4 linked regions of the Diceros bicornis minor genome follow. The protein of the gene in region 1 interacts with the protein of each later gene in a pairwise test. Links are inferred from orthologs where the notes say so. Each region holds a gene or a part of one and is shown in the gene's direction. Other genes may lie near its edges.

Region 1 (7,934 bases):
TAGTGTGTTCAAATACTGTTTTGAACAGTGCCAGCTATTTATTGCCAGCCCCTCTGGACATCCCACCCCAAAATCATCTTTTCTAGTACTAACAAGGTCTCTGGTCTTAGAAGCCTGCCTTCAATTCTGAGCTGTCCCCAGTGACTGCCTAGCCTTGGTGTTGGCTGCAACCTTCTGGTTGAACCATAGGGTTCCACCCTCATCTGGCCAGCCTGGTCACTTGGGGTAGTGGGTACAAATGACCCTTTTAAGAAGCAGGCATTAATGATCTCAGCTTTCAGGGACCCGACCCTTGATGTTCCCCCTTTTCCTAGAACTCTTAGATCTACTCCTTCTCTCTTTGCTGTAGAAGCCACTTTCCAGGAGCCCTGTTTTTTGGAACTGAACTGCACAGATTATAACTGCTTCTGTACTTAGCTAAGGAAGAGCAAGGAAGGCTCTCAGGCACTGACTTGCTATTTCTTTCAAGCCAAACCAGTTTAAAATGAAAATGGTCTATCAGAATGAACTGGATTTCCATTTCTCAAGTCTACTGCCTTCTTTCTACATCCTAGAGTTACCCCTGTTTCTAGCAAACTAGAAGGGAAGGAGATGAATGCCTGGGAATACTTCCTCATCCCACATGCCCCTCTTTGAAGGCCTCAGCTCATTTGTTCAGGCCACATCTCTTCTCAGTGAGACTCAGCTTGGTATCCATCATTTTGGGTATTCCTCAGTAGATTCATCTTGTGGGGTGAGATTCTGGATTCTCAGTTGAAGGCAGGGAGTCAGGTTCTCCAGGTCCCTGCAGGCACTACAGGGATACGTAGGGAAAACAGGCTGGTTGGGGGCCTCAGGAATGTGTATGACTATCTGCCTCTCTGGCAGGCTGGGGAAGGGTGCAAGGCTCAGTGCACTGAACTGAGGAAACGCTCATAACCAGTAGCAACATCTTCCAGGTAGGACTATCCAAAAAGTGAGTGTGAGAGTGAAAAATTGCCCAGAGTGGGTTTCTTCCACAGCCGTTTTAGGATTGCACATTCTAGACCAATCTTGTCCAGTATTTTTTCTTGTCTTAACTTTTGGATTCTGTTGTTAAGCCAACAAGCTGAGAATTTGGCTCTGCGGAGATCCATATGGTAGGCACTAGCTGCTCTTTGACCAAGGCCTTCCTAAATGATTCAGTCATCCCATTGTCTAGCCCCTAGCCCCACCCCCAGATTTAAGACCACGGCAAATGAAGAATTTGAGGTCAATACCAACCAAGTCTGTGAATTAAAGCTGTTATTTTCCTCTCAGAGGGCATTTTGCATCAGGCCTGGGCTATGTGCAGAACCAAAACTGGGTATGAGAGTTAGAAGAAGCAGTGTTAAATTTTGGGCCCAGAACACCCTGGGAGAAAGGTTTGTGTAGTGTGTTATAAAGGTCTTCAGTGGCTTTGGGCCTACCTCGCTACTTCTGGGCAAGCCTAACTGCTGACGTCTGCGTTAGCACATACCTGAACCCTTCTGCTAAACACTAGCCCTGCTCCCCTGTGTAGGTCAGATTTTCAGCCCCTGGGTTTGGGGAGAGAAAACTTGGCCATGCCCTGGGGGCAGTGAAGGAAGTCAAAGCTTAGAGCCTGAGACTGGCTAGGAACCTCTGACTCACAAGATGGCCTTAAAGAGCCCACCTCTACAAGAACCTTCAGGCCCTGGAGTTAGGTATTGGCCAGCTTTTGTGGGAACTGCCTTTGATTGAACCACTAAAGAAGTGAAGGGGCTGTGAGGTCTTAGCCACCCAAGACAGACTGGCTGTCCCTCAGAAACAGCTTGGGTTCCCAGCTACAAACCTAAGGAAGGTGAATCGAACCCTTTTCCTTACTGGTTTTTCTTTCCAAATTCATTTGCTTTTAGTTTTCCAAGAACTGTAAACTGGCTGTTTTCCATGTTCTCAGGGCCCCTGGGTAGACAGACAAAGCTTGATTATTTCAGAGCAGACATAGGCCAAGAAACCATGGCATTGAGTGTGCTGAGTCCAGACAAATGATATTTATATACACATCCAAATTTGAAGAGAAAATGTATTTCTTTAGGTTTCAAACACTGTAATAGATATAAAGCAAAAATAAAAACCTGTTGCAAAGTTCTAAATCGTCTTCTTTGGAATGATCCTAGATTTTGTGGAAGCGAATGAGGAGAGGGTGTTTAAACTTGTGGCCTAACAGTGGAATTAAGAATTGCAACAGCCTGCTCCTGCTATAGAGAATCTTTTTAAATCACCTTTATTGTAATATAATTGACATAGAGTAAATGGCACATATTTAAAATGTACAATTTGATAAGTTTTGGCATATACAATCAAGATAGTGAACATATCCATCACCTCTAGAAGTTTCCACATGCCCCTTTGGAATCCCTCCTTCCTGCCCGACCCCCAGCAACCACGCATCTGCATTTTGTCACTATAGTTTAGTTGGCATATTTTCTAGAGTTTCTCTAAAGGATTTTGACATCATTTCATCAGCACCATTCCACAGCCCTTTGAGCCCATTGAGGTCATACAGTTCACAACTACCCACTTCATTTTAGATCAGTTCCTAAAGCAGAGATTACAGACAAAAAGTTGGTTCAACCCAAAAGGAGGGTTTTGGTTGGCTGATAGAGTGTGTTTAAGGTTTAATTTGTTGCCAACATTTAAAAAAATAAAGATATATCTATCTTGAAAAATATCTGGCACTGCTGGGCCTGAGTTTCTGCTTGAAAACAATCTGCAAGAGCTCCATTTTACCACAATCACCGCCATTCTCAATGGTCTCCCTGACTGACTCTGGCAGATGCTAATATTGGTGATATTCTCTTTTACAGCAAAGGAGAAAGTAACTTTTTAACCCATGTTTCTATCAAATTTTCTTATTCCTTGCCTGCCTGCTCTACTCATTACCCAGGTGGCCCCTGTAGGCCACTGATGATCCTGATACACCACTCCACCCTTCACCCCATGCATACCTTGTTCTTGCTTATTATGTTCTTTATCTCTGCCTAGAACATCCTCTTCCCATGAAAATCCATCAAGGCTTGATTTATATGTTACCTTCTCAAGAAATTTCCAACGTGCTTCTCTGGAAATAAGCAGGGACTTGGTTTCGTGAGACCTGGATTCCAAACCTTTCAGAGCTTGAGTTTGACCATTATACTATTATACCATATTGCCTCTCAATGTTACCTGGAAAATGCAAACTCTTGCTGCCTAAGGGATGTGGAAGAGAACTGCCCTGAAGTCTCTAACTGGGGAAAATACTTAACATCTTAAGAGCCCTAAAACAATGCCCAATTTGCACAACAATTTAAAACTCTCTGCCTCCAGAATGATGCTAGGCTTTAGGACTAGAGAATTTAGCCAATGTCATTGTTGTTCTCGCAATGTCATTGACTTGTAAAGCAAGTAATTTCAACACCTTGTTACTAATGCTGTAATAAGACCTCTATCCAGACTTAGGGAGCCAGGACAGACTGCAGAGCACTGGGAAGGCTCTGAAGTGACCTTTGACCTGGACTTCAAAAGATTTTGTTTTTGCCAGAAGGCCGTTTTGGAAGGTGGAATAGCACCTGCAAAAACCTAGGAAATCCTGGAAATAAAAGTATAATTGGAGCAAAAAAGGCAGAGGGGATGGGCAGGATCGGCTAGAAACAGAAGCCAAACCATGTAGACATTAAATTCCATGTGCAAGAGTTGTCGGTTTTTTTTCCATTACCTCTAGGCAACTGGATAAAGAATTGTGATATCACTTGCGGAGAAAAGTTTGGCTTTTTTCCCCTTTAGCCCCAGTGCAACTGAGACTTTGTAGAGAATGAGCCAGTCAAAGAAAAGGCTCAGGAATCTGCTGAGGCCAAAATTCCCCTTACAGGGCCCCCTTACCCTTTCCAAAGAGGGACTCAAGCTGGTAATGGAGAGGGGAAAAAATATAACCTACTTTCACAAGTCACAAGTCATCGTCAGGGAAAGCGTCCCATGGTGGTTATTTCTTCTGGGTAAGAGGCAGGGTAGTCTAGTAGTTAAAGATGGGTGCTGGTGCCAGACTTCCTGGTCTCGAATCTCTGCTCTAACCATTCAATAACGATGTGACCTTGGACAAGTTATCTAACCTTTGCCTTACGGTCCTTGGCTATAAAATGGGAATAACAAATAGTACTTAGTTATGAGGATTAAGCTAGTAGACACTGAGAAAGCACACTGTAAGCGCTCAAAGAACTGCTATTGTTATTAAACGCTTCTATTTGAATACGGATATTGATGCCCTCGGATAAAAAAAAAAAATGCCAGGGGCCAGCCTGTGGCTTAGAGGTTAAGTGCTCGCACTCCGCTGCTGGCGGCCTGGGCTTCGGATCCTGGGCCCGCACCGACGCACCACTTCTCTGGCCATGCTGCGGCAGTGTCCCACATACAGCAACTAGAAGGATGTGCAACTTATACAACTATCTACTGGGGCTATGGGGAAAAATAAATAAATAAATAAAAATTGTTAAAAAGAAAAAAATGCCTGGTCACACAGCAAATTAGTGATGAAGTTAGGACTGGAATACAAATCTCCTGATTCCCAGCCCCAGTATTCTATCCCTTGTCCTCAGAGTTCCTAGATAGTCATAGATGTTCGCAGAAAGGGTGGAGGCATGTAAGAAAGAACAGCCAGGGGCAAGGCTTTGAGAGCTGAATCACAGCTTCCGCGTAATGGAAACGAGGTTGACGTTGATGTTTGTGCAAAATGACCTGCTTCTTTCGGACCTCCTGGGTATCGGGCTCCAAGACTAAACCCCTTCCTACTGCATCTTGGGAGTTGGGGTCAGCCCCAGTGCATGGAGGGACTTGTAGTCCTCTCCCTCCCCCGCCTTCCCAACTCACCGGCCTCAGAGGCTGCCTTCGCTTCATCTTTCCCAGCAAGCCTCGCGAGAGCGCCGGCTATTGATTGGCTGCGGCGGGAGCAGGCGGCTCTGCCGGCAGCGGTTACCCAGGGTTTCCGGTGCGAGGCCAGAGCGGGCGAAGCCGTCGGGACGTTGGCGTTGAGGTGGGTACCACGGCGGCTAGAGGGACGAGGCGATCAGACGGTCTGTGGACCTGAACCCTTTCGGCCAGTGCGGGGAAACACGCCGATTCTGCGCGAGAGCTCGGGCCGGGGGGCAGGGCTGAGACCTGTGCGCATGCGCGGGCGGAGCGCGCGGCTGGAGGGCGCGCGGGGTGTGGGTGGCTGCGCGCGGGCGCGCGCTGGGGGCCCCACGTGGGGCCTAGGGGGCGGGGAGGGACCGGCGATGGAGCGTCTCGCCACGTCAGTCTCGGTCCCTGAGCCTGTCCCGCGGTAGGCCTGCGTGAGGGCCCGTGTTGTCCCCGGGAAGTGGTTTCGGGAAAAAGGAGGCCTCTCCTTCCTCGCTCCCGGAGCAGCGCCCGGAAAACCTGCCTGGGCACACCAGGCTCCTGTGACTGGCTAGAGACAGGGGGAACCGTTGGCTCCCTCCGGGGAAGGCCGGCCAGTTTGTTTTAAGAAGCTTTGTGCGCCCAGTGTTGAGATTTCTGATCCAGGCTACGAAGAATTTCTTAGTCTGGAAAATAGCAAGTGTGCTTGTTTCTATAGGATCTGCTCCTAACCTAGCATTGCAAACCACAATGAAGAACCAAGACAAAAAGAATGGGGCTGCCAAGCAATCGGGCAACACTTCCAACCCAAAAAGCACCCCAGGGCAACCGGAAGCAGGACCGGAGGGAGCCCAGGGGAGGCCCGGCCAGTCGGCTCCTGCGACAGAAGCTGAAAGTTCCACCAGCCAGGCTCCAGGGAAGACTGAGGGTGTGTGCCAGCTCTGCTTTTCCAGCGGGCAGGGGGAGGAGTTTGTGATTCGCCAGTCTAGCTTCTGGAGTTAGAGGGCAGGGCCACTGTTTACCCAGGAAGGAGGAAATGTAGAATGAGAAGAGGACATTGCTGAGTCTGTGCGGTCCCCACCGTTTCCTGGGGAGTGGGTAGAGCCCCCACCCTAAGCACAGGAACAGAACTGTCTTGAGAGAAGGCTCTGACAGGATTAAATCAGGGAGCAGTCAGATGAGACACCTAGCCAGCAAATCCAGGTTAGAAACACCTTATTCACCAGTGGGTAACTGCTGTTCATATTTGAGGCATTTCTGGAACTTTTTTAATAGTAAGAAATGAGTTTTGCAGGGAGGAGAAGGGCAGGGACTAGACGTTGAACTGCTACATGCCATCCCTATGTTGGATGCTTTACTTACTTGATTTCTTTTATACTCAAACACAATCGGGCAGCAGTGAGAAATAATTATATCATTTTATAGGTAAATAAACTGAGGCTTAAAGATGTTAGGCAACATCTCACCCAAACTAGTAAGTTTGGACCTGAAAAACGCCAACCATTGGTATAACCATCTTATTTCTCACTCTGCTCCTCCTCCTCTCCTGGTGTAGGAGCACAAGCCAAAACTGCTCAGTCCGGGGCCCTCCGTGATGTGTCTGAGGAGCTGAGCCGCCAGTTGGAAGACATCCTGAGTACCTACTGTGTGGACAACAATCAGGGGGCCCCAGGTGAGGACGGGGCACAAGGTGAGCCTGCTGAGCCTGAAGATGCAGAGAAGTCCCGGACCTATGCTTCGAGGAATGGGGAGCCTGAGCCAGAGACCCCAGTAGTCAATGGTGAGAAGGAGACCTCCAAGGGGGAGCCAGGCACAGATGAGATCCGGGCAGGTGACGAAGTCGGAGACCGAGACCACCGAAGGCCACAAGAGAAGAAGAAAGCCAAGGGTCTGGGTGAGCAGAGGGCGGCTGCTTGTGAGGGTGCTGAGGGGGAGAAGTTTGGACCTGACATTCCTTGGGCTAGCCTGCTCTGCCAGGATTCAGAGGAAATCCTGCTTCCCAGAGCAGAGAGTCCCGCTAGTTTAATCAAAGCCAGTGCTTTGGGGCCATTGCATAGAAGTGTGCAGGTTGTTCACTGTGCAAGGGCTTCTGGCCTTGGGAGCAAGTAGGAACTGAAATCCAACTTACGCTCTCTGACAAAGTGGAGAGCAGGAGACCTGAGTGGGCTCCTGTGTCAGCCAGCACCATTTCTAACCTGCTCTGTGACCTTGGGCAAGACCTTTCTTCTCTCTAGTCCTTAATGTTTGTTTCTCTACAGTAAGAGAATTGGCCTAGACCAGGGTTGAAAACTCAAATGAGCCAAGCTAGCTGGGGGGCCCCATGAGGACCAAGAGAGTACCTACTTCATCCAAAGGGTTGACTGCCGCCTGGTCCCAGAACGTTGCATGTAAAACCACAGGCTAAGTGTAGCCAGCTTTTCCTTTTTGTTTTTTTTTAAGAAAAGCCATGGGCCGGCCCCGTGGCTTAGCGGTTAAGTGCGCGCGCTCTGCTGCTGGCGGCCCGGATTCGGATCCCGGGCGCACACCGACGTACCGCTTCTCCGGCCATGCTGAGGCTGCGTCCCACATACAGCAACTAGAAGGATGTGCAGCTATGACATACAACTATCTACTAGGGCTTTGGGGGAGAAAATAAATAAATAAAATTAAAAAAAAAAAAAAGCCAGAAATCTAGGGTTACATGAAATGTCCAGAATTCTAACATTTGGCAACTCATATGCTGGGAGCCAAACAAAACCCATCTGTGGGTTGGATTTGGCTTGTGTGCCAGCGATTTCCAGTCTCCACCCTGATCTCGGAGCCTCCCAGGGTTGACCCTTCAGGAGCCTCGTGCTGTACTCTGTACGCCGGCCCTCCAGGTGACAGTGGGAAAATTGGACTCAGGCTAGTGTATGTTAAAGAATCAAAGTTAGGTGATATTATGCCCATGTCTTAGTTCCTACTCCCCCACCTCTACCTGCCATTCTAATTTAAAGAGGGTGGTTTTTGTTGTTGTTTTTTCACCTTAGCATCAAATATTGGAAGGTATACTCATGTTAAAGTTCACTGTTTGGCTGCCTGTGTTGACGAGT
Region 2 (8,010 bases), on another chromosome or scaffold:
TAGGGGTGGGGGAAGTTCAGAGGTTTAGACGTTAATAAATGATTAATGAGAAAATATCCCTGGAAGGCACTATAATAAAATGCTTTTCTTTTCTCTTCACTAGTTCCCCCTCCTTCTCCTTCCAGGTGTGATTTAAAATAAACAAAATTCTTAGGCAACTAATGCTAACTGTATGTAAAATGCAATGCTCATAGTGGGGTTTCTGTTTAAAAAATAAAATAAAATAAGGCCTGTGGGATAAATAGAGTGAGTCATACTTCTCCTAAATTTCTCTTCCAAGCACTTCAGTATTATCTCCATTGTGTTCTCGCTCGACTATTGTAAGCTCAAATGCTGAGTGGAATCCCAGGGGGAATCAACTTCCCAGCTTCTGTTCTCCTTGGACTCAAGCTGTAAATCAGCTCACAGAGAGTTACAGTGATTGCTGCCAAGATAGCAAAGAGTTGTTCAACATTACCAATTTAATGCAAAGATTCAACTTATTAAATTTATATCAAGTCCTTCTTATGATGAGAGCAAGTTAGTTTCCAAAAAAGTTCAATTATAAGACCATCAATAGGACTTACTCATTTCAATAAGTCCTTTTGCTTCTGTGTAAATTATACTAATAACTAATATATACAAGTCCCATTTGGGCATAAGGAAAACCTTAGGTACAAAAAAGGAGATAAAAATTAAGCATTCTTCATTTTTAAATAACTGAACTAAGAGGAAAATAATAAGATATATTCGTTCAGCATTGCAGGAACAACTCTAACACATTGGAAAAACCCTTGAACAATCGATTTCATTGTTAATAAGGAACACTAACTCTCCTGCCTTGGAGTGACTTTCCTTTTAAATAAACCATATTGGATGGTTCTATTAAAAGACATCCAATCCTTTTTGGTTTTCATTAATCTATAAGGGTTTAAATATGGCAAAATAATCAAAATGTTAGTCATTTATCTTTTTTCATGTGTTACTATTTTAGATGCATCTCTAGATATCATCAGCTTTAACTGGATTTCCAACCACCTAAAAAAATTATTTGGCTTTTTTTTTCCCCCACAAACTTCCTTTGTAATAAACTGAGATCAAATCAAAACAATTAATTCAACTCTAACAATATTTTCCATATCTCACTCACTTCTAATAATTACTTTAGAATTCTTTTCCAGGCACTTGATTATTATTAGCAGAAAATCATGTGACTACATTAGATGACGTCAGCTAATCCTCCGAAGCAACTGTTCCTCTCCAGTTTAGAAAGAAATCAACACGTCAGGCCTTCTCACAGACACAATACAACACACTGTAACCCACAGTAATTAAAATCTCTGCTAGCACATCTTTCATTTCCACAACTTCCTCTTACTGCTGTTGAAGATAAAAGAAATTAACAAGGGTCATCTATTGACATGAGCTCTATCCACCCATGTCCTTTTGCGAACAGGGCAGGGTATAAATATAAAATACGAAATATAAAAAAAAAAATTAGTAAACAGCCTAGTACCTGGTCCCAGCATGAGCTAAGCAAAGGAAGGTGGTTGGAAGCATTGCTATGGCTTCACTGGGTCCAATCATCTTGAATTATTTTCAACAGTTTATTATTATTATTGTTGTTGTTATTTTACAAGCATTTAGTGACTGTCTACTATGTGAGTCACGAAGCCAAGCACTAAAAAGGATATAAAGATATACACTACTCAGTCCCCACCCTTAAAAAGTTTAAATGGGGGCTTAGCCCGGTGATGCAGGCAGTTAAGTGGGCAAGCTCCACTGCGGCGGCCCGGGGCTCGCCAGTTAGGATCCCGGGTGCACACCAACGCACAGCTTGGCAGGCCATGCTGTGGCGGTGTCGCATATAAAGTGGAGGAAGATGGGCACGGATGTTAGCCCAGGGCCAGTCTTCCTCAGCAAAAAAAAAAGAGAGAGAGAGAAGAGGATTGGCAGATGTTAGCACAGGGCTGATCTTCCTCACAAAAAAAAAAAAAAGTTTAAATGTATTGAAAACCATAAACATAGTAGCTATAATTTATTAAATAGCCATGATGATTTAGGCAGTTTATACGCGATAACCCTTCAGTCTCCCCAAAATCCTGCACAATAGGTATTGTTGCCCTTATTTCACACTGTACAGACCCAGTGCCTATTCTTTAATGCGGGTATGCACCCATCCCCATCAAAACCATTTGCTTCAGGGAAAGCTGATTCTCATCTCCAGACCTCTGGGGCCCATTCGACCTCTATAGTGAGATGAGCCAACAAATCCCCTTTTATTATCAGAGCTAGTTTGGGTCGTTTTTTCTATTCTTTGCCACCAAAAGCACTCTAACTGATACCCAGGATAATATTCATCCTCCAAAATTAATAACATTTTCTTAAAGAGATGGGCATTACATTTTCCTTCATTGTATATTTTTTTTAGACATTAAGGTAAAGCTTAGCTGATTTCATAATATAAAAGCCTGAAATTTCATTAAATAAATATTCCTTAGATGAATGAATTAGCTGAACAAACGAATGAATAATGAATAAACTACTGAATATGGGATAATTTCTCTGTTCCTATTTTGCCCCTACTCTCTCAGGCTAAGATGCATGATTTTAGCATGATTTTACGCTAAAAGAAAAACAATAATTCTGAGCCAGTTGGTGATAGCCTGCTCTCTTTATATTCTATAGTAAATCATACTAACCCACCCTCTCCCCTGCTTGACATTATTTGAAAATCATGCATAACTGAGGTTAGGTGGCCCACACCCAGAAAGGCAGAAATAGAAAAGAGTCAAACATCTGACACTTGCCCTGTGTACGTTGACCTCTCTCTGACATTCCCTATCCATCAGTAAGTAATGTTCACCAGAGAATGAGAGATTAGACAGTAGAAGGGGTGTTTTGTTTTGTTTTACTCATAGTGATCAAAAGTGCAATACATCTTGTTCAACTGCCAATTGTAGTTGTTAAAGACAATAATGCCATAAGTGAGGGACCTTGTTCTCCAAGGAAGCTAAAGAATGTGCAGAAATGACACATAGCCTGAGGGGAAAGGGTGCGGTGGGGAGAAGAGGAATACTTTAAAGATATAAGTCACAGAGACATGCTGAAAATCCCTCACCTCATGACTGGTAACTACTCCACTGAGAGGGAATTAGCCCTCACATTTAAAGTGGGAAATGACTATAGAGAGGGATAAAATGGTTATTTATTTCCAGACGCCGCCAACTTCCATATTGCTCTCTTGCTGTGTCATAGTCACAGACCTGTACAATGAGAGAAAAAATAATTTCTAATCTTCCTGTTCAAGAAATAATTTTATTGATCTCCACTTCATTTTTTATTTTTTCTATGATTCAGCAGGTCATAATTGCTCCAGTTCCAGTAGCTTTCTATCACTCAGCAAGATGTCCATGGGGTTAAAATATCTTACAAGTTAATAGGAGGTGAAGAAATTTATTTCAGCACCAAGGAGAGTGCCCTGTTATTTTTCTAACGGTTCTATGCATTCAATACTGCATATTATTCATGAGGATAGAAAAGAAGTTTTGAAAGGTGATTTGATAGAAAGCTGCTAAGAAAAATCCTATTCATTTCTATAAAATTAAAAACTTGCCAGGGTTTTGTACACATACATGATTTCAACAATGTGCTACTCTTTTAGCTTTCAAATGCAATGGAATTAGGGATTATTTGCCAATTTTTCAAAGGCCAAAACCACAGTTTCTGAATGGCTCTAGACTGGAGGAAGGTTCAGCGAAGTCACAGAAGTGTTAAATTAACAGTGATTAAAAGCTCCATGAGAACAAGTCCTAAGATCTTTCTCACTGCTTATCTTCAGAGCTTGGCACACGGTAAATGCTCAATGAATATTTATGTGAGTCAAGCAAGAAAGAATGAATTAATGAATGGCATTCATTAAGCGAGTAAGAATAAATTAATGAATACCTTGTTTGTAATGAAAAGTCACTTTTTGCAACCAGTCTCAGAGATCCTTATAAACCACACTGCTCAACCTGAAACTTGAACACATGTTTCCTTGCCCTTTATCAAGGGAGTCTCTGGATCTCAGAAAAACCATGCTCCAGATCACACCTTCCACGTCCACTAAGCTTTCAGTGCAAAAGTTTCTCCTTAGAGCCCTGGAAAGGTCACCGAGGTTTCAATCCATGTAATCCTACATCTCCAGGGCAGCATGGCGTCCACCCACCTGTGGCTCCCCCAATGCTCCAACCGACCAGTCCACCTGGTTCTGCCCTATTACCAGAGGGCAGGTAGGACAGAGGCACAGAACTCTCATCCTCTTCCACAAGGTCCTTAGGTGGACCCTAACTACTTGTCCCTATTCCCAAGCAGCCCAGGCAGCCCCTTCTTTTTGTGCCAAGAGTAGCAAACATCAGGCCTTGCTCTGCTGAGAAATCCTCAAGAGTCCAGAGACATCTGAATCCAGCTGCGCTGGGAGACACAGGACAATAATGCAGTTCTGCTCTGAGATGCCACCATAGCCAGACATGGGGTCACCCTGGGAGACTAGAATTTACCAAAGATATGGCCAAAGGTGAAAGAGAAAACATGAACTAAATACACCTTATAAACAGATGTTTCCAACAGTCAGCACGTTGTGAAGACTTCTCAGGCCTCTGAATCCCTTTCCTTTTTTATGTCTATTTGTGCGATGAAACATGTGTGAACTAAGTCAAGCCTGCTGGCTCGCAGGTAGTCACAGCCCAGATCTTAGCTCCTAAGAGGCTTCTGGGCTAAGTCTCCACTCTACTTGGACCGTACTATCAGGCCCCCAAAACGGGGGGAGCTGCCAGGGAAGGGCTGATTTCCATTTCAAACTGCATTCTGGTACTTTGTACTCCAGCACCATTGGCCGATCAATATTTAATGCTTGGAGATTCTGACTCTGCGGGAGTCATGTCAGGGGACCTGGGGAGCCAATCTGCTTGAGCTTCTGAGTGATAATTATTCATGGGCTCCTGCCTCTTGCTCTTTCTCTCGCACGGTCCCACTCTGCAGACTCAGTGCCTTATTCAGTCTTCTCTCTCGCTCTCTCCGCTGCTGTAGCTGGACCCTTCGCCTTCGCCACCGCTCAGCATCCGCACATCCCTACAATGGCTAAAACAGCAATGGGTAAGGCATCGCGCCTCGTTCTCCCTCGGCTCGACCTGGAGCCCACCTCTCAGCTTCTCTCTTAGAGCTTGGAAGGCAATCGGAGATATTTTAGAGAGAAAAAGACGTTAATGGTAATAGGAGCACCAGGAGGACGGAGGCAGCTCTGGGGGTTTGGGGAGGGCAAAGAGAAGGTCCTTGGAAATTTAAAGCTAAGAATTTCTTTTAGAAGGTAGAAGCAGGTAAGTTGCCCTCCTATGGGTAGGGAATTTATTCTATTTCCGTATTTAAAATTAGGGCTCAATCGTGGGGGGTGGGGGTTACCGTAACTGTTTGCCTTAAAGGGGGTTAAGGGACATTTTGGAAAGTGCTTTGTAACGTCCTTTATTTCCTCTCTAGTTAAAGAAAGAAAATGGGGAAGAGGCAGGGGAGTGGAAGAAAGGAAAAAGAAAAATGCAAAGTCAAAGCGGTCCCATCTAGGCTGTTTGAAAGATGGGTGGAGACGAGGGAGGAGGGCGGGTGGAGAACAGGGCAAATTTTATGGTATTGTCTCGCCGGAGAAACCGCTAGTCCTGGGGCGCGGTGCGGGGAAGTAAGGGAGGGGGCCTATACGCCTTTGTTTTAGGAAGAGGGAGGGGAAGGAGAGAGGAAGTCGGGAGGGCAGGAGGGCGCGGGTGGGCAGCTGCAGGGGCGGGGGAGCGCGCGGCGGGGAGGGGTGAGGGACAGCAGTTTCGCAGGCGCTGGGGTGGGGTTTCTTTGTGTGAGGACGAGCGGTCCCGGGGGGAGGCACCTGCGGCGCCGGGCGCCCAATGCGGGCGGCCCCACCCTGTGCGGAGCCGCGCCCGCGCCCTCACCCCTTCCCCCAGCCGGGTGCGGCATCGCAGCCCAAAGGCGGCCGGGTGGGGAGCGCAGCGCGACACCCCGGAGCCCAGCCCTGGGGGGCCAGCGGCGCCACGCCCCCGCTTTGCGCTCCTGACTCCCAGCCCGGGCCACCGAGAGAGACCTGACCACTGCCCCCGCCTTCCCCACCCTGGCCTCATTGTTCTGTTTTACAGAGAGCGGGGGAAAAGTGGGTTAAGATTTTTCTTTTCAAAACCACATTACATAGAGTGATTCGACATAGGCACAGATAAAGGCTTCTAGGAACTCATCTGGGAAAAAGCTTCTGGAACCCGGATATGTGTATGTATAATAATACAGATACAAAAGAGGTCAAGGTCTTAAATTGAGCTACGTGAAATATCCGTGTCGTAGGTCAGACTGGGCCAAATACCCGCAATTTTCATGGGTTCATGAGATTTCGGATGCAGGGCCTCCATCCCCAACCGTTCTTGGGCCTCAGGTGCCCCGAGGTTCAGCGCTCGGTGGCCCGGGGTGGGCCAGCAGGGAGGGGCCCGAGGTCCCTTGGGGCTGGCGACACCCCTCCCCCGAGACGCGATGCGGGATGCGGAGAAGGGGAAAAGCCCCGAAAGGGCTCGCTCTGGACAGCTCCGCCCTGCCCCACCCTCCCGCGGAGCTGGGTCTGGGACTTGGCGAGGAAAGGGGGAGGGGCCGCTGAGCGGTCTGCAGTGCTAGCGCCCCGTTTTCCAGCCCCGCAGTCCAGAACGGCCCTGGCACCCCTCGATGTTGCGCAGACACGCGGCGTGGCGCCCAGCCGGGCGCCGAGCCCCTCCCAGCCCAGTGAGCGGCTCTGCAGAAGGCTGGCTCGAGCCCCGCCCGGCCACACAAAGGCGCGGCCCCACCCCAGCGGGCCGCGACACCGCAGAGGTGACCCCTTCCCGGGGGTGGGGGGCCGGGTTTCTCTTCTCGCCCTCCCACAGCCCGCGGAGCTCGGGGCTGTTTCCCCCCCCGCCGCAGCCCCCCGCCCACGCTCTGTTCTCCATGCTTTCCCCGGATGGAGACCCCTGGGATGGTCTCCCACGGAGGGACCCTCGCTCCTGCAGCGAGGCGTGGCTCGGCCCCACCCCTCCCAGCTGGGGCCCAGACCCGACCACCCCTCCCAGCTGGGGCCCAGACCCGACCGCCGCTGGCCGGGTGGGGGCGCACGTGGCGAGCCGGCGCGTGGAACGCAGCCAGCCCTGCAGAGCCCCGCGCCGCGCCCTGCGCTGCCCTCCCCGGGCTGGGCGCTCGGCCCCGCGGCTGCAGCCGGGGAGACGGGGTTCTGCGCAGAGCCCTGAGCTAGCCTCGCTTCCCGCAATTCGCGCTTCACCCGCAAGTCCGGAGGGTTCTGAGAAGGGGGGATGGGGGCGATCTCGCCCTGCGCTCTGCAGCCGCACCGAGAGGTTTCTGCTGCAGGAGGGCGGCTACAAACTCATCGTCATCATCACTATTATTGTTTGTATTTCAAATCATTATTATTATTTCATGACTCAGTGGCCCTATTTGTTCAAAAGGTTTGAATGATTGCATTTGATTAAGGATTCTACTCCTCCCTCCCCTTCTCCCCCAAAAAGACTTCTTTCTGCGGTGGTTCATTTTACGTTATAAAGCAAATATATTTTCGGTTCCTGTTGGGATTATGTATGTTCGTGTGAGTGGGATATATGTGCAGGTGCTTGCTAAGGGAAGGGCTTGTGTGCCAAAGATTGCTGGAAAATTCTCCGCAGAGAATCGTTTGTGGCTGCAATGGTGAAAAGATACATATATAATTGAGATGGTATGATCTTCGCCGTGGATTCCATAAGGTTATATCTATAAATATGTAAATATAGGTTATGCATAAAATTTTAACTGTTTTTTTAAACTATTCTTCCAATTGCTGATTCTTGATACAGTCTCAGTTCTGCACAGAAACACGGATCGTGAAATGGTAGCCACCATCCCATTAATAAAAATCCCACCCCAAACAGGACAGATGCAGGCATCCTCTCTGCCATGAGTAAGCTGCATTTGCAAATCATGAAAGGAAGCACAACC
Region 3 (7,143 bases), on another chromosome or scaffold:
TCCCCCTCTCTCCCCCGTCCCCCTCTCCCTCCCTCTCTCTCACTCTCCCTCCCTCTCTCTCTCTCTCCCACCTCCCTCTCCCTCCCTCCCTCTCTCTCCCCCTCTCCCTCTCCCCCTCCCTCCCTCCCTCTCTCTCCCTCCCCCTCTCCCCCTCTCTCCCTCTCTCCCTCTCCCTCCCTCCCTCCCTCTCTCTCTCCCCCCCCCACACACACAATGGAAGCAAAAGCTTCTTGAAACAATCCTTACCCTGCTGTGGGTGAACCCTTCTGATAGTTGACATTCTGTTCTGTTTCATTAAAAAACTGTGCAAATCACCACCCAGTACAATGACTAACGAGTCACAACTTGTTCTTTGAAAAACACTAAACCCAAGGATCTTAATCAATGGTGTGAATACGCCCCTTAGGGGAGGGACCTCTGGTTGGGGTGAACTTGGACCAGGAATCCTGAACTTGAGTTTCCACCTCTGTAAATCAGGTGCACCCACTGACCTGGTGTGAAAGTTGAGATGCAGAGTGCCCCCACATAATAGATGCTCAACAAATGGAATTCCTTTCCCTGAGGCAGAGTGTGCTTTGGGGGGGGGGGTATAGACAAGGGTGACCCCTACACGTCCCTGCATCCGGTTTGCACATCACTTAGAGGTGCCTCTCTAAGACCGTTTAGAGTTTCCCTGGGTACGGGGTCTCAGAGACTTTCCTCCCGGTTTACCTCCCTGCCCTCCCTCGCCCATTCCCTAACCCCGGCTCAGCCTCCCCAGCAGTGGTTTCTCCTGCTCCAGCTCCTGAGCATGGACTGATTCCAAGACCTAGGGAGCAGGCCAATGGGCAGCCTGAGAGGTGGTTGGGGCTTTGGTCTCTAGGGAACGAGGGCATGCTCATTTTCTCCTCTCTCTCTTCTGGGGAGAAAGTGGGTGGGCAATGCTAGTAACCTCCTGCTTCCTGTCTTTCAGATTCTTGGGGCCACCATTGAGAACTCCAAGATTGTCCTGCAGATCGACAATGCCCGTCTGGCTGCGGATGACTTCCGCACCAAGTAAGCGCCTCTGCCCTGGAGGGCTGCAGAAGCCGGGGCAGGGAAGGAGGGGCAATCCCAGGCCCTTTTGGGGCTCAGTGCAGTGGGGGGACTGGGCCCTGCCCTCACCCACCCCAGCTGGTCTGAAGCAACTCCTCCCCCACCCCATAGACTCCTAAACCCTGGGGAGGTGGGGAAGTCTTCAGAGGTGCAGAGGAAATGCCGGCCTGACTGCAGCTATTGCCTCTGAAAGGTTTGAGACGGAGCAGGCCCTGCGTTTGAGCGTGGAGGCCGACATCAACGGCCTGCGCAGGGTGCTTGACGAGCTGACCCTGGCCAGAGCCGACCTGGAGATGCAGATTGAAGGCCTGAAGGAAGAGCTGGCCTACCTGAAGAAGAACCACGAAGAGGTGTGTTTCAAGCTGGGCCTTCCATCCTTTCCACCCTAGCTTCCCAGGGCTGAGGATATTTTTTTATGCTGTATCCTCTGACTGTCGCCATACTTGCTGCACCCTCAGCATGGCCCTGGGTGCAGAGTGTGGCTCCCAGGGTTCCAGCAGGGAGTGGTGGCAATCCAGTCTATCCCCCCATGCTGCCTCCTAGGTCTGCACCTGAAAACCAGCCCCCTTAGGCGTGGGGGCCGGGGGCGTGACCTGGCCCAGACCCAGCAGGCTCTGGGCTCTGACATGCCCACTCTGCTATCTTTCCAGGAAATCAGTGCCCTGAGGGGCCAGGTGGGTGGCCAGGTCAGTGTGGAGGTGGATTCTGCTCCAGGCGTTGACCTAGCCAAGATCCTGAGCGACATGAGAAGCCAGTATGAGGTCATGGCTGAGAAGAACCGGAAGGATGCTGAAACCTGGTTCATCAGCAAGGTATGAAGAGGGAAGCAGATGCCCTTTGGGGAGGTGATCAGGAGGGAGGGCTTGATGCTCCCAGGCAAAGTTCTGGCTCAGGGCTTATTCCTTCCACCTCCTCTCTTATTGCAGACTGAGGAGCTGAACCGGGAGGTCGCTGGCCACACAGAGCAGCTGCAGATTAGCAAGACGGAGGTCACCGACCTGCGGCGCACTCTCCAGGGCCTGGAGATCGAGCTGCAGTCTCAGCTCAGCATGGTATGTGCCCTCAAGTCCTTGCAGGCTTGGGTAGCCTGGGTGGTGGCGTGCCCATTTCCCCTCTGGGAACCATGCTCTGCTGAGTCTCCTTCCCTCTCCCTGCCCTCAGAAAGCTGCCCTGGAAGGCACGCTGGCAGAAACAGAGGCTCGCTTCGGAGCGCAGTTGGCACAGATCCAGGCTCTGATCAGTAGTATTGAAGCCCAGCTGAGCGACGTGCGTGCTGACACCGAGCGGCAGAACCAGGAGTACCAGCAGCTCATGGACATCAAGACGAGGCTGGAGCAGGAGATTGCCACCTACCGCAGCCTGCTGGAGGGCCAGGACGCCCCCACCCTGCTTGTGGGCCCGGGCCGCCCCTTTGACAAGCCGCCACCCCCCAATGCCCACTGAGTCCGGCAGCCTCCTGTGGAGGGATGCCCCTGAGTAGGGGCATGGGAGGGGAGGGATCTTTACTGTGGCTCTCCCTCTGATCTGCCAATAAAATTTTATGGCCCAAGGGAGGAAGGACATTGGGTTTGTTATTTCAGCCCATGGAGATGGGCCAGGCCTTGGCACTGTTCAGGTTTTATTTGGATCAGAGTCCACCCTGTCCAAGGAAAGGGACGGGAGTGCGCTCACAAACTCTGTTAATTGTGATTCCTGTTTGCAGAAGTCTTCGTTTATCTCACCTGTTCCCTAAAACAACCTTGTGAAATAGGCATTGCTTCCATTTTACAGAGGGGTAAACTAAGGCTCAGAGAAGTGAAGTGATTTGTTGTATGTATAACTATTCTAACACACGGCAGAGGTGGGATTTGAAACTGGTTTTGCTTCCAGATTTCGTTTTCTTTACACTGTGTTCCCCCAAGGGTTGGTGTGTGTGTGTGTGTCTGAAATTAATGTTTACTGTATACCTACTATGTGCCATTTAATCAACATAAAAAGGTAGATAGTATGAGTTACATCTTATAGAGTGGGTAAAGTAACTTGTCCAAGGCCACACAGCGACTACGTGGCAGAGCCGGGACCAGAATCTAGGGTTCCTGCTTCTCTTTTTTTTTGTTTTTGTGAGGAAGATTAGCCCTGAGCTAACATCTGTTGCCAATCCTCCTCTTTTTGCTAAGGAAGACTGGCCCTGGGCTAACATCTGTGCCCATCTTCCTCTGCTTTATATGGGATGCTGCCACTGCATGACTTGACAAGCGGTGCATCGGTGCGTGCTCGGGATCCAGAGCCCAGGCTGCTGAAGCGGAGCGCATGCTCTTAACTGCTATGCCACCGGGCTGGCCCCAGGGTTCCTGATTCTTAACCACAGTGTCACCCCTGCACCCCTGTGTCCTAGGATCCACCCTGCTTATGCCAAGTCCTCAGTACACTCCAGTCTTGCTCCATGTGAAGGCCTAGGACCAGGATCCCCTGAGGCAGTTCACTTAACTGAAGGAGGAACTGCGGCTTTGGGGTCAGAGCCTGAGTAATGGGGGGGGCAGGCATCCGCTCAGAGTAAGGCTGGAGAGGGTGCATCTGCCGGTGTGCGTGCACTAACACATTCATCCATGTCCCGGGCAGCCCTGCATAAGCCCCTATGCCCACCAGCCATGCCTGGGCCCAGAGCCTGGAATGAGACCCAGACCTCCCACACAGACCCCCAAACTGGCCTGCCTTGGGCTGGTTCCGGGCCAGCAAAGGAACGCCGGTCCCAGCTTCCTGGTACTGCTCTGCCCTCAGGTGGGTCTGGTCCTGCCCCTGTGGTTTATAGCTTGGCTGCCAAGAACTGAGGCCAATTAAGGGTAAATAAGTCCTACTTCGCCCTGGCTGAGAGATTCAGGCTGAGGGAGTCTGTTCAGGCCCTGCAGATCTGTGTGACAGCAGGCCAATCCTGTAAGGGACACTGCTCCTTCCCCCAGAAGGTCTGCTATAGGGGAACAGATTGACTCTTGGCTAAGGAGGCCCGCAAAGCCGATCCTGAAGGAGGTCCCCTTTCCGCCGTTTCCCCTGGGCCTTGGAAAAGTTTATTAGCTTGCTCCGAATCAACGAATCAACGGGTGACCCCAGAGCCCAGCTCTTCCCTCTCCCTGCTGCAGCCCTGGGCCAGGAGCCCCTTCTGCCACGTCCCCAGCTCTTCTCCAGCCTCCAGCCCCCACAGCTCCCTCTCCTACTTAACTTCTCAGGAGGCCCTGGAGCCAGAGGCCAGAGGCCTGGCCTTACTGCCAGGCTGGGACTTCCCAGGATGTTTGTCCCAGTTCATGAAAGCCTCTGTTGTTGTCACAGCTGAAACCCTCCCCTCTGCCCCGAGGCTCTTAGAATGTGGCTGTAGGTCTGGGGCTGGGCCCACACAGGTGGAGCAGGTGACTGGGTCCCAGGTTTGGGTGTCAGGAATGAAGCCCTCCTTTGTGTGTGTGTGTGTGTGTTGGGGAGGTAGGGGTGAGGACACTTTTCTGTCTCAGTCTGAGAATTGAAACTAGGGGTGCTCTGTTGACAGAAGTGGCTGGGATAGAGGAGAGGGAGAGGGGGAGAGAGAAAGGGGAAGGGGACAGGGAGGTGAGGTCTTTCCACCCCGGCTGGTCATCATGACCAGTTCAGTTTGCAAAGCATTTCCTGTCAGTTCTCTGCTCCATCCCTGTGAGTCAGACTGGGCAGGAGTTATTTCCATTTTCCGATTGGCAGACTGAGGCTCAGAGATAGGAGGCTCCATTACCCCAAGCCACATATCTAATGAATGACAAAGGAGCAATTCTCCAGGCCCCAGATCATACGCTCTCTCTGTCCCCTGCATCTCCGTGGGGAGTGGGGGAGGGGGGTAGCGGATTCTCAGGTTTATGGAGGCACCCCTCCCCATGTGCCATTAAATGCTCACTGTGGCCCTGTAGCAGGGGTCAGTGTTAGTGACTCAATTATTTTTTTTTTTTCAAATTGTCATAAAATACACGTAACAAAATTTACCATCATAATCATCTTTAAGTGTACAGTTCTGTGGCGTTAAGTACATTCACGTTGTTGTGCAACCGTCACCACCATGCATCTTCATTACTCTTCCCATCTTTTAAAACTGAAACTCTCTGCCTATTAAACAATAACTCCCCATTCTCCCTCCCCTAGGCCCTGGCAGCCACCATTACACTTTCTATCTTCATGATTTTGACTACTCTAAGGCCTTATATAAGTGGAAAAATGTCCCAATTTTAAGTCGGGAACCTGGCTCAGAGAGGTTGTCACACCCAGAGGCGGAGTCCAGCCCAGGCTCTTTCCGCTGGGCTGCATCGTCCCACCCCAAGGACAGAGGCCGGCTCTGGGGACGGCCTGTCTGTCTGCTGTGGGCAAAGGACAGAAACTGGCACAGCCTCCTGGGCGGGCTGCCAGAGGAAGGGCCTGCAGCCCAGGCTGGGCCCAAAGGAGCTGGGTCTCCGCCCGTGCAGCCATCGCCACCTGGTGCTAATGAGCAGGCCCAGCCCCACCCAGACCTAGAGCTCACAGGAGCTCTTTAGGCTGAAACCAGGGATTTGTGACCGGGGCAGCTGCTGCCTCAGGCATGGGCCTGAGAGAGGAGGGAAAGCCACCTCGAGGGGCTTCTGGAGGGGAGTCAGGGTGCAGAAGAGGGGCTGGCTGGGGTCCAGTCCTGCCTCACCCTGGGTGATGGCGCATAATTTTTTCCATGTTAATTGCTGGGCCCTAATGACTACAGAGGCTTTAATGAGCTACGGCTGATCTGAGTTTGATTATTTTTCTTTCAGAGGAAAAGACAATATCCGCCCACCCATGAGACAATACAGCACTGTCAGGGCTCAGCACTGGGATGCTCGGACGGAGGCCTGGCTCACTGAGGGACAGCCCGTCCCCACTCCCCAGGCCAGCAGAACCAACACCACCCACCCCCCCGCCCCCAGCTACCAGCTCAGATGCACGAATCTGGGGTCTGTGGGAGGGACTCTTTTTTCCTGTCCTCTGTTTAAGTGGGGTCAGAGGACCCACTGGAGTCCTAGCGATGCCCCTTACTAGCTGTGCCACCTTGCACAAACTGCTTCCCCTCTCTGAGCCCCAATTTCATTTCTTTTGAAACAGGGGCAGGGATCGTCTTCTATGTCGTGAGGATTGGAGGAGGCGATGGATGCAAAAGGGCTCTGTTAAACCGTGAAGTGTGCGGTTGAAGGTAAGGGATTACTGTTGTTACAGCAATAATGGCAACCACCTGCACTGGGTGCCCAGTGGGGCTGGCTCTGGAAGAGCAATGCTGCAGGACGAAAGTCCCTCCTGGTGAGGGTACGCGGGAGTCCCAGGTACTGGACATGCACCCTGCTATCCGGCCCCCAGAAGATGGGGAGCCAGGATGAAGCAGGATGGGGGCCCTTGGGCCTCAGGGCCTCCCCATAAGTGAGAGCTGAGAGTGCCCCTTGCCACAAGGAAACAGACTTACAGGTAACACGTCCAAGGTTTCACAAGCAGTAACCCATAGAGCCAGGATTTGAACCCAGGCCTGAGGAACACCCGAGCGCTGTCCACTTCACCGCGCTGCAGCCCTGGGCCAGGAGTCCTCTTTCATCTCCAGCTTAGTCTTGCTCACCTCCCCAGCCTCACGCCTCCAAGTGGCACTGTGCACAGGTACCAGCTACCCCTGGAAAGCTGGCCCCTGAGCTGGTGACAGAGAAAAGGGCTCTCCTGAGTGTTTGACTCCCCTCTCTGGCCTCAGCAACCTGCTCTGTGAAGTGGTGCCTTGGCCTTCAAGATCTTCGAAGTGTCTTCCAGTCTGCCCACCAGGCCTCCATATTTCCTCCCTTCCCACAACGTTCAGGCACGTAGAGCCTTCTGGGCTAGGTCCCGCTCCAGCGCCACATCACTTTGCAGGACAAATGGGGTTAATCTGGCCCAGCTATGCAGCGACATGCCTCTCCCCGGAGGAGGAGGCAGGGGCTTCCCAGAACGTGTTCCAGTTTTATCTGCAGAGGTTTGCCCCGACGTGTTCCGGGAGCAAGCAAAGGTTCAGGGACACGTGCGGTCGGCAGGTGGCGGGAGGATCAATCAGCCCCGTGTCAACCCTGAGCCTGG
Region 4 (7,083 bases), on another chromosome or scaffold:
ACCTTCTTGCTGTGTCCTCACATGGTCTCTTCTCTGTGCACATGCATCCCTCATCTCTCAGTGTGTTCAAATTTCCTCTTCTTATAAGAATATCAGTCAGATTGGATTAGGGCCCACCCTAATGGCTTCGTTTTAACTTACTCATCTCTTTTAAGGCCCTACCTCCAAGTAGAGTCACACTCTGAGGTATTGGGGGTTAGGTCCTCAACATATGAATTTTGAGGGTGTACAATTTAGCCTATAACACCCTCTATCTGTGCAACGCATCCCAGATAATTATCGCAACACACCACTTTATTTGCACACGTTTGCTTTAATTTTCTGCCCCCTGAATGCAAAAGGTATACAGACTCTCCCTTCAGGGCACTTCAGGTAGAACATGTTTTTCTACTCCTTACTTTCCAACGCTTGCAAACTTTTTCGATCCACAGTAAAAAACATATTTAATCTTTGACCCAGTACACACATACATAAATATGTAACTGAAAAATGTTTCCACAAAGCAGTGCAATGTAATTTGATGCTTTAGAAATTTTCTGCTCTATTCCAATTTTTAAAAATCTCTACAGAGATATCTGTAAGGCATCTCAAACAAATAATAATTACATAGTTACGTGTAAATAATAGTGTAGTAATGTAAGCACTGATGATAGATTTAAAAAAAATTGGATTCTAGCTACATGTAAGAGAGAGAAAATTCTCCATTATAATAGGAAAGCAATAAATTTCTCAAAGGGTTTAATAGAGACATAGAATATATGCATATTATTTAAAAATATGGAAGCAACGCATAGAAGAAACAGTTAAAAATGTTGAGAGTGGTTGCCGCTAGGGAGAGAGGAATGTGACAGGATGTGGGGGTTGGGGAGGTAGTGACTGAGAACTTTTTTTGTTTTTGTTAGCTTTTGAGCACTATTTGACTTTTAAACATTGCTTGATAAAAATAAAAAATAATAATAAAAAAACCACACATAGTGTATACGGCCACCTATTCTGCTGACTCTTAGGGACCGGCCTGGCTGGGTTTCTCGCTGCATGCTCACACCGCCACACGAAAGGTTTGCAGCTGCTTTTTACTCAGAGTTTCAAACTGTGCGTTCGACAGAGCTTGTATTTTAGACTAGCCCTAAGTAACCCTTTTTCAGTACATGAAGGCACCTCTTTCTTTAAAAAGGGAGGCAAGACAACCAGCAGCTAAGAGCACAGACCTTGGAGTCAGACTCTGGGTTCAGATCTCAGCTTTGCCTCTCACCAGCTGTATGACCTTGGGCAAGTCTCTGAATTTCTCTGCCTCCTAACTTCATTATCTGTAACATAGCGATAATAACGGTATATGCCTCTGGGACTCTTATGAGAATTAAAGGAGTTTTCATTTTTTTAAAGAACAGTACCTGGCAGGTTAAATACATAAAATTTCATAGGAAAGTAGCACTTACCCTTTTTGAGTCTGTAGATTGAGAAAATACTTTACACGCAAAGTTACCATGAATTCAATTATTATAATAACTATAAGATATATAAAATATTCATATTCAATTTTAATATATATATTATAAAATAACTCATATTTTGTTTATCACACCTGGATCTGCACAATTTGTGAAAGAGTATATCTGTGGGTAATGCTATTACTTATCAGTCTATAGACAATGTTCAACATGCATAAGAATTTGCAATAAATCTGAGGAGGTCTGGAGTTCACAGCACACATACACTGTCCATCCATTGACTCTCAATGTCTGTAAAGTAGGACTGATAATTGGTCATTTTAAATTGATTAGAATCCTCCCAGAATATTTACGTGGAAGCTACACTAATATAGTTAGTGTTACTGAACTTCTCCCTTCCCCCCCGAGAATTATGGCCCAAGATGAACCTGTGAGAGTTGAGTAAACAAAACCCACAGAGAGTGTAAGAGTTTAGTCCCTTGGAAACTTAACATAAGAGATTACAGACTAGAGCTACTGGGATGCATGCTTAGAATGCAACTGTAATTGAGAAAACATACATCTAATTTATTCCACTGCCTGAGAATTGACTGTATTAATAGAAGGGGTTGGCCAGGAGCAGAAGTGGGGGGTGGTTGGAAAATAAAAGGTGTCTGGTGCCTTTGCACTGTCTAGAGGAGAAGGCACCCTGACCTATGAACACAAATATTCCAATCTCTTTAACACAAATGTCCCTACACTATGGAGATGCAAATCCTGATGATTGTATTAATTGATTTTTTGTCTATCTTCATTTGTTCTGATCCAAGTTTACCAAATGACATTCTGGTGACAATTTGGCTTCTTGTGTAGGTTTGTCTATGAGTAAAATTGTGCTTCGCACTACTACTTTTCATTGTAAGTGAATAAATCAGCATTCTGGATTATATACAGCAGTTGCTATGAATGAATTTATTTAGCATGAGTCCCCGAGGGAATCTTCAACTCTACGTGCCCAGCAGAAGGACAGACCAGAGGACAGGATGCTGGAATAAGGGGATCACAAGTACGCCTGCCTCCTTCCCAGCTGTTGTCTGTAGGCGACAACTCTTCAACTCATTTTTTACAGCCCAACTTGGACCAACATAGAACTCGCCATTTCCAATACTGTTGTAACTTTGGGTTTTCCTGTAGACTGCAAGTCCCCTACTACATTGTTCTCCTCAGGAAAAGTGGGCTAAGGTACATTTTTGGCTTTGACATCCAGTTCTGATTTGGAATATGTGCTACAACAATTTAATTAACTACCACTTACATAGTAAATTGATTCCTTCAATTCAACAGTCGTGTGGAGCATTGAGCAACACATTTTGTTGGGAGTTATGGGATTATAAAGATGGATTATGAAAATGAGGAAGCAACCCAAGTGCCCATCAACAGATGAATGGATAAGCAAAATGTGGTCTACACAAACAAAGGAATATTATTCAGCCTTAAAAAGGAAAGAAATTCTGACACATGGTAAAACATGGGTGAGCCTTGAAGGCATTATGCTAAGTGAAATAAGCCAGTCACAAAAAGACAAGTGCTGTATGATTCCATTTTTATGAGGTACCTAGAGCAGTCAAAACCATACAGACAGAAAGCAGAATGGTGGTTACCAGGGGCTGGGGGAGGCAGGAATGGGGAGTTGTTTAATGGTACAGTTTCAATTTTGCAAGATGAAAAGAGTTACGGAGATAGTGATGGTAGCACAACAATATGAATGTACTTAATGTCACTGAACTATACACTTAAGCATGGTTAACAAGGTACGTTTTTATGTTATGTGTACTTTACCACAATAAAGAAAAACTGAAGATAAAAAAAGATGGATGGGGTGGCCCCACGGCTTAGCGGTTAAGCGCACGCGCTCCACTACTGGCGGCCCGGGGTTCAGATCCCGGGCGCGCACTGACGCACCTCTTCTCCGGCCATACTGAGGCCGCATCCCACATGCAGCAACTAGAAGGATGTGCAACTATGACGTACAACTATCTACTGGGGCTTTGGGGGAAAAAAAAAAGGAGGAGGATTGGCAATAGATGTTAGCTCAGAGCCGGTCTTCCTCAGCAAAAAGAGGAGGATTAGCATGGATGTTAGCTCAGGGCTGATCTTCCTCCCAAAAAAAAAAAAAAAATTTGGATCATGGTTCTGGTCCTAAGGTGCTTACTGCGTTCAAGAGATGCCAAACAGGAGGGTGGGAATAGCGTTAACGGGAATGCAGACTAAAGAGAGGTTAATACTGAGAAGACCCCGGCCCATTTCACGAAGAACTGACACAAGAGGTGGGCCATTATGTAATTCCCTCGAATGTTTAAAATCCGTCGAGCAGAAGCCTCCCATACCTGCTTGAAGACGCGAAGTCGCTGGAAAACCTGACCGCAGGTGCGTCTCCACGTTGTGGGCTTGGCTCTCGCTCCAGGGTGGGACCCGAGAAAGCCCTCGCTGGCCCAGCAGATGGCGCCCGCGCGCGCAATGCACCTCTGGGCGCGCAGGGGGCGCTCCGGCCGGGCCTCTCTTCCCCCGCCTCGGCGGCCCTTCCTTCCGCCTCCCCAGCCCGCCTGTCGTCGCCAGCGCGCAGCTGCGCAGGCGCCGGCTGCTGGTCCGAGCGAAGAATGGCGGCGTCTTCGAGCGGCGAGAAGGAGAAGGAGCGGCCGGCAGGCGGCTCGGGAGCGGCGGGCGGTAACAGCACGCGAGAGCGGCTGCTGTCTGCGCTGGAGGATCTGGAGGTCTTGTCGAGGTAATGCCGTCGGCCTGAGGGCCTGGCTGGGGCTGGGCCGGGCGGACTGACTCCGGACCGCCGGCCCTGCGTTGCCTCTGGTTGCCGGGGCTCGGCGGGGACGGCCGCGCTCGGGGGACTGTGGCGCTCACTCCAAAGACGGGGCACGAGTGTCTGCAACCCTCTGGGACTCCGAGATGGCATGTTCCCCTTAGAGGACATTTTAATAATGACAGTGACTCTGGAACCCCAAGACTGTCAGAACCGCAGCGGACCTTAGAGGGAGAGCCCCGTGTGAGTCTTTTCGTCCACGACACTCAGCAAACATTTAAGGAACACCCCCGGCTTCCGAGCGCTGGGAGACGGTAGTGAGGGGTAGATGGCGACGTGGAGGAGCCAGTGTCAGGGGAAGAGACTGACGTGTAAACAGTGACTGTGGCGCGGAGACTGTTTTTATCAAGACGTGCACTGCGGGCTCCTGGAGCCCCGGGACTAGGCGCCTGTCCCGGTTGTAGTCAGGGCAGGCTTCCTGGAGGAAGGACCATATGGAAAGAACGAGTTCACCAGACTCACTAGGCTGCAGGTGGCTGGAACAGCATGGGCAAAGGCCTGGAAACATGAGCACGCACGACTTGGTGGTGGAATTGCAATTTTGGGATGGCTGGAGTGCAGCGTGTGTGATAGAGGTAGGAGATGAAGTTGGATGTCATTCTCCTTATTCTGTCATCTTTCATGGTAGTCTGTGGAGTTGCAGCCTTTCCTTAACTCCCTCACCTTCAGTTGGATGTTAAAATTGTTTTGGTTCTTTCTCCTAAAATGTTGCTCAGATTTGGCCTCCCGTTCCCATCTGCATGGTCATGACTACTTCTTAATGCAGCCTCTCAACAGTTTTACTTGCCTTAATCCTTCTGCACTTTATCCTTCTATATTGCCAAGGGCAGAGCTAGGCATCTCTTGTCACTTTTCTGCTTTAAAATATTTGGTAGATTCTCATTACTCAATGAAATGAAGTCCAAACTTTAGCTTAGTGTACAATGAGGCCATTCTCCCTCTTGTCTTAATCCATCCTATTATCCTCATTTGCTGCCACACCCCTCCAGCCTCCTGTACCCTTCACTCCAGCCTGGGTGAATGCTCCCCATTCTAGAGCTAGCCATATTTCCTCGTCTTCAATGCCATTTCACTCCACCTCCAACTTGATGAATCATTCATCCTTCAGTATCCGGCTCAAATGTCACCTATTCTGTACCACATTCTTTGACAGCTTTAGAATAAATCTTATATATGGTATTACCTGACCTTCTGATAAATTTTATCTTGGCTGTGAATTTAGTCCTTGCTATAGCAAGCATTGCTTAACCAGATTACTAGGTTAGCACAATATTCAATGACATAATTAAATCCTAAAAACACACAGACACCAGAACTTAAATAGTTTATGTGTTTAATCCACTGTTTGGATAGTATTAGACTCAAATACTGCCTGACGACAAATAGGGCACGTGGAATTTTCAGCCAGCCAGCAGGCAGTACAGTGAACAAGAAACTCACAGGCAAGCTGTCTTAATGTGTTGCCGCTGTGTAAATGTTTACGCAGATTAATGCAGGTGCTATTTCATTTCCTTCTTTGTCTTTGTTGGCTTTGTAGTTTGTGGTGGACAACTTGTCAGTATCCTCTTTAGTTAATCCTATCTAGTGAATACCAGCATGATTTCTTAGTAAAAAGACGCTAGCAAGACAAGAGTTTTCGTGGTATGAATTTTGCAGTTAAATTATTCACATCTCTGCTCTGTTGACACGACTGTCTTCGGGACAGCTAATTGAAGCTTTGTTTAGTTCAGGTTGAGTTGTTATTCTTTGTTAGCTATTAAACACCAAATTAACCTCTTGTAAATAGTTCACTGCTATTCTAAATAGGACCAACTTTCATTTGAAAAACTCAGTGCATTCAACCTAACCAGTAAAATGTTCCTTATTATTTGTTCATTTGGACCAACCATATGGTGTGGATGCTGGTGATTAATTTTTCTGTAAATATGTGGACTTTGTGAAGAAGTGACACCTCCTTTGGGAAGTAGTGTGTGCTGCCTTTTGTTCTAAGTAGGTCTTAGTCTTAAAATTCCAAATCTTTGCCTTAGTATATTCAATGAATTATTATTTCTCACTTGTCTACTCTGGAGCCCAGTAAATTCTATTCTTTTCTGAGGTCTACTTGCTGTAACATGATTTGTTTGTCTGTTTTGCTGAGTAACCCTTGTATATATTTCATATTCAAGTTCAGGAATTGTTTTTCTGAGTCTACCCATCCAGGGTAACAGTCTTGGAGAATTTCTTCTGACATTGGACAACCCAGTGGTCCATCTTGAGATCTTGCCGCTGGATCGTTTGGCTACTGGTTGTGTCTGAGGTGTGTTTTCCTGATGCTGTTGGTACCTGTAGGAGTCCATATACTTGCTGTTGATGTACTCTTCACTTGAGATAGCATAATTAAGTAATCTATGAGTTACGTTAAATTTGAAACTAAATTGAAATTCTCTTGTACCTAGATTGACCCTGTTTATCCTTCTCCATATTTGATTCTTTCCTTGATTACCGAGTATAGCATTTTCTGTTTGATGAAATGTATTTACCCATAAAGTAATGGTGAATCATTTAAATTTTCCTCAAGAGCCTCAAGATTTCTGAAACTGCTTCAGCTTTCCAGCTGTACACGATCAGTTGAGGTGCTGAGTTCTCTTTTGCTTCCTTTGAAAGAAACTGTAGTTCTTCTGTTACCCTTTCTCCAAGAATGCCAAAATGACTTTGATCTCTCATTATTTGTAGTCCTCCTCACTAAATCTATTGATTCCTTCCTTCCTATATGCGTCCTTCTTGAGGCACTCTGCAGCCTGCGGT

Evidence for each region.
Region 2: the proteins of TXLNA (region 1) and STMN2 interact in binary tests that used the Homo sapiens proteins (3 or more experiments, as listed by UniProt). The two-hybrid records come from large-scale screens. The link is inferred for Diceros bicornis minor from reciprocal best matches to the Homo sapiens genes TXLNA and STMN2.
Region 3: the proteins of TXLNA (region 1) and keratin, type I cytoskeletal 15 interact in binary tests that used the Homo sapiens proteins (3 or more experiments, as listed by UniProt). The two-hybrid records come from large-scale screens. The link is inferred for Diceros bicornis minor from reciprocal best matches to the Homo sapiens genes TXLNA and KRT15.
Region 4: the proteins of TXLNA (region 1) and MED4 interact in binary tests that used the Homo sapiens proteins (3 or more experiments, as listed by UniProt). The two-hybrid records come from large-scale screens. The link is inferred for Diceros bicornis minor from reciprocal best matches to the Homo sapiens genes TXLNA and MED4.

Annotation. Positions count from the first base shown.
Region 1 is NC_080752.1:46,972,534-46,980,467, forward strand, and holds the start of TXLNA (alpha-taxilin), read left to right. Parts: upstream 1-4,918; 5' UTR 4,919-5,020; intron 5,021-5,315; exon of another isoform or gene 5,316-5,581; 5' UTR 5,582-5,613; coding exon 5,614-5,791; intron 5,792-6,418; coding exon 6,419-6,757; intron 6,758-7,934. UniProt on the Homo sapiens protein: May be involved in intracellular vesicle traffic and potentially in calcium-dependent exocytosis in neuroendocrine cells.
Region 2 is NC_080772.1:30,471,426-30,479,435, forward strand, and holds the start of STMN2 (stathmin-2), read left to right. Parts: upstream 1-4,996; 5' UTR 4,997-5,096; coding exon 5,097-5,115; intron 5,116-8,010. UniProt on the Homo sapiens protein: Regulator of microtubule stability. When phosphorylated by MAPK8, stabilizes microtubules and consequently controls neurite length in cortical neurons.
Region 3 is NC_080757.1:40,843,713-40,850,855, reverse strand, and holds the start of keratin, type I cytoskeletal 15, read left to right. Parts: upstream 1-4,143; 5' UTR 4,144-7,143. Other genes in the region: KRT19 (keratin, type I cytoskeletal 19), read left to right, coding at 953-1,035, 1,268-1,424, 1,725-1,886, 2,001-2,126, 2,236-2,517.
Region 4 is NC_080748.1:28,976,195-28,983,277, forward strand, and holds the start of MED4 (mediator of RNA polymerase II transcription subunit 4), read left to right. Parts: upstream 1-4,064; 5' UTR 4,065-4,084; coding exon 4,085-4,209; intron 4,210-7,083. UniProt on the Homo sapiens protein: Component of the Mediator complex, a coactivator involved in the regulated transcription of nearly all RNA polymerase II-dependent genes.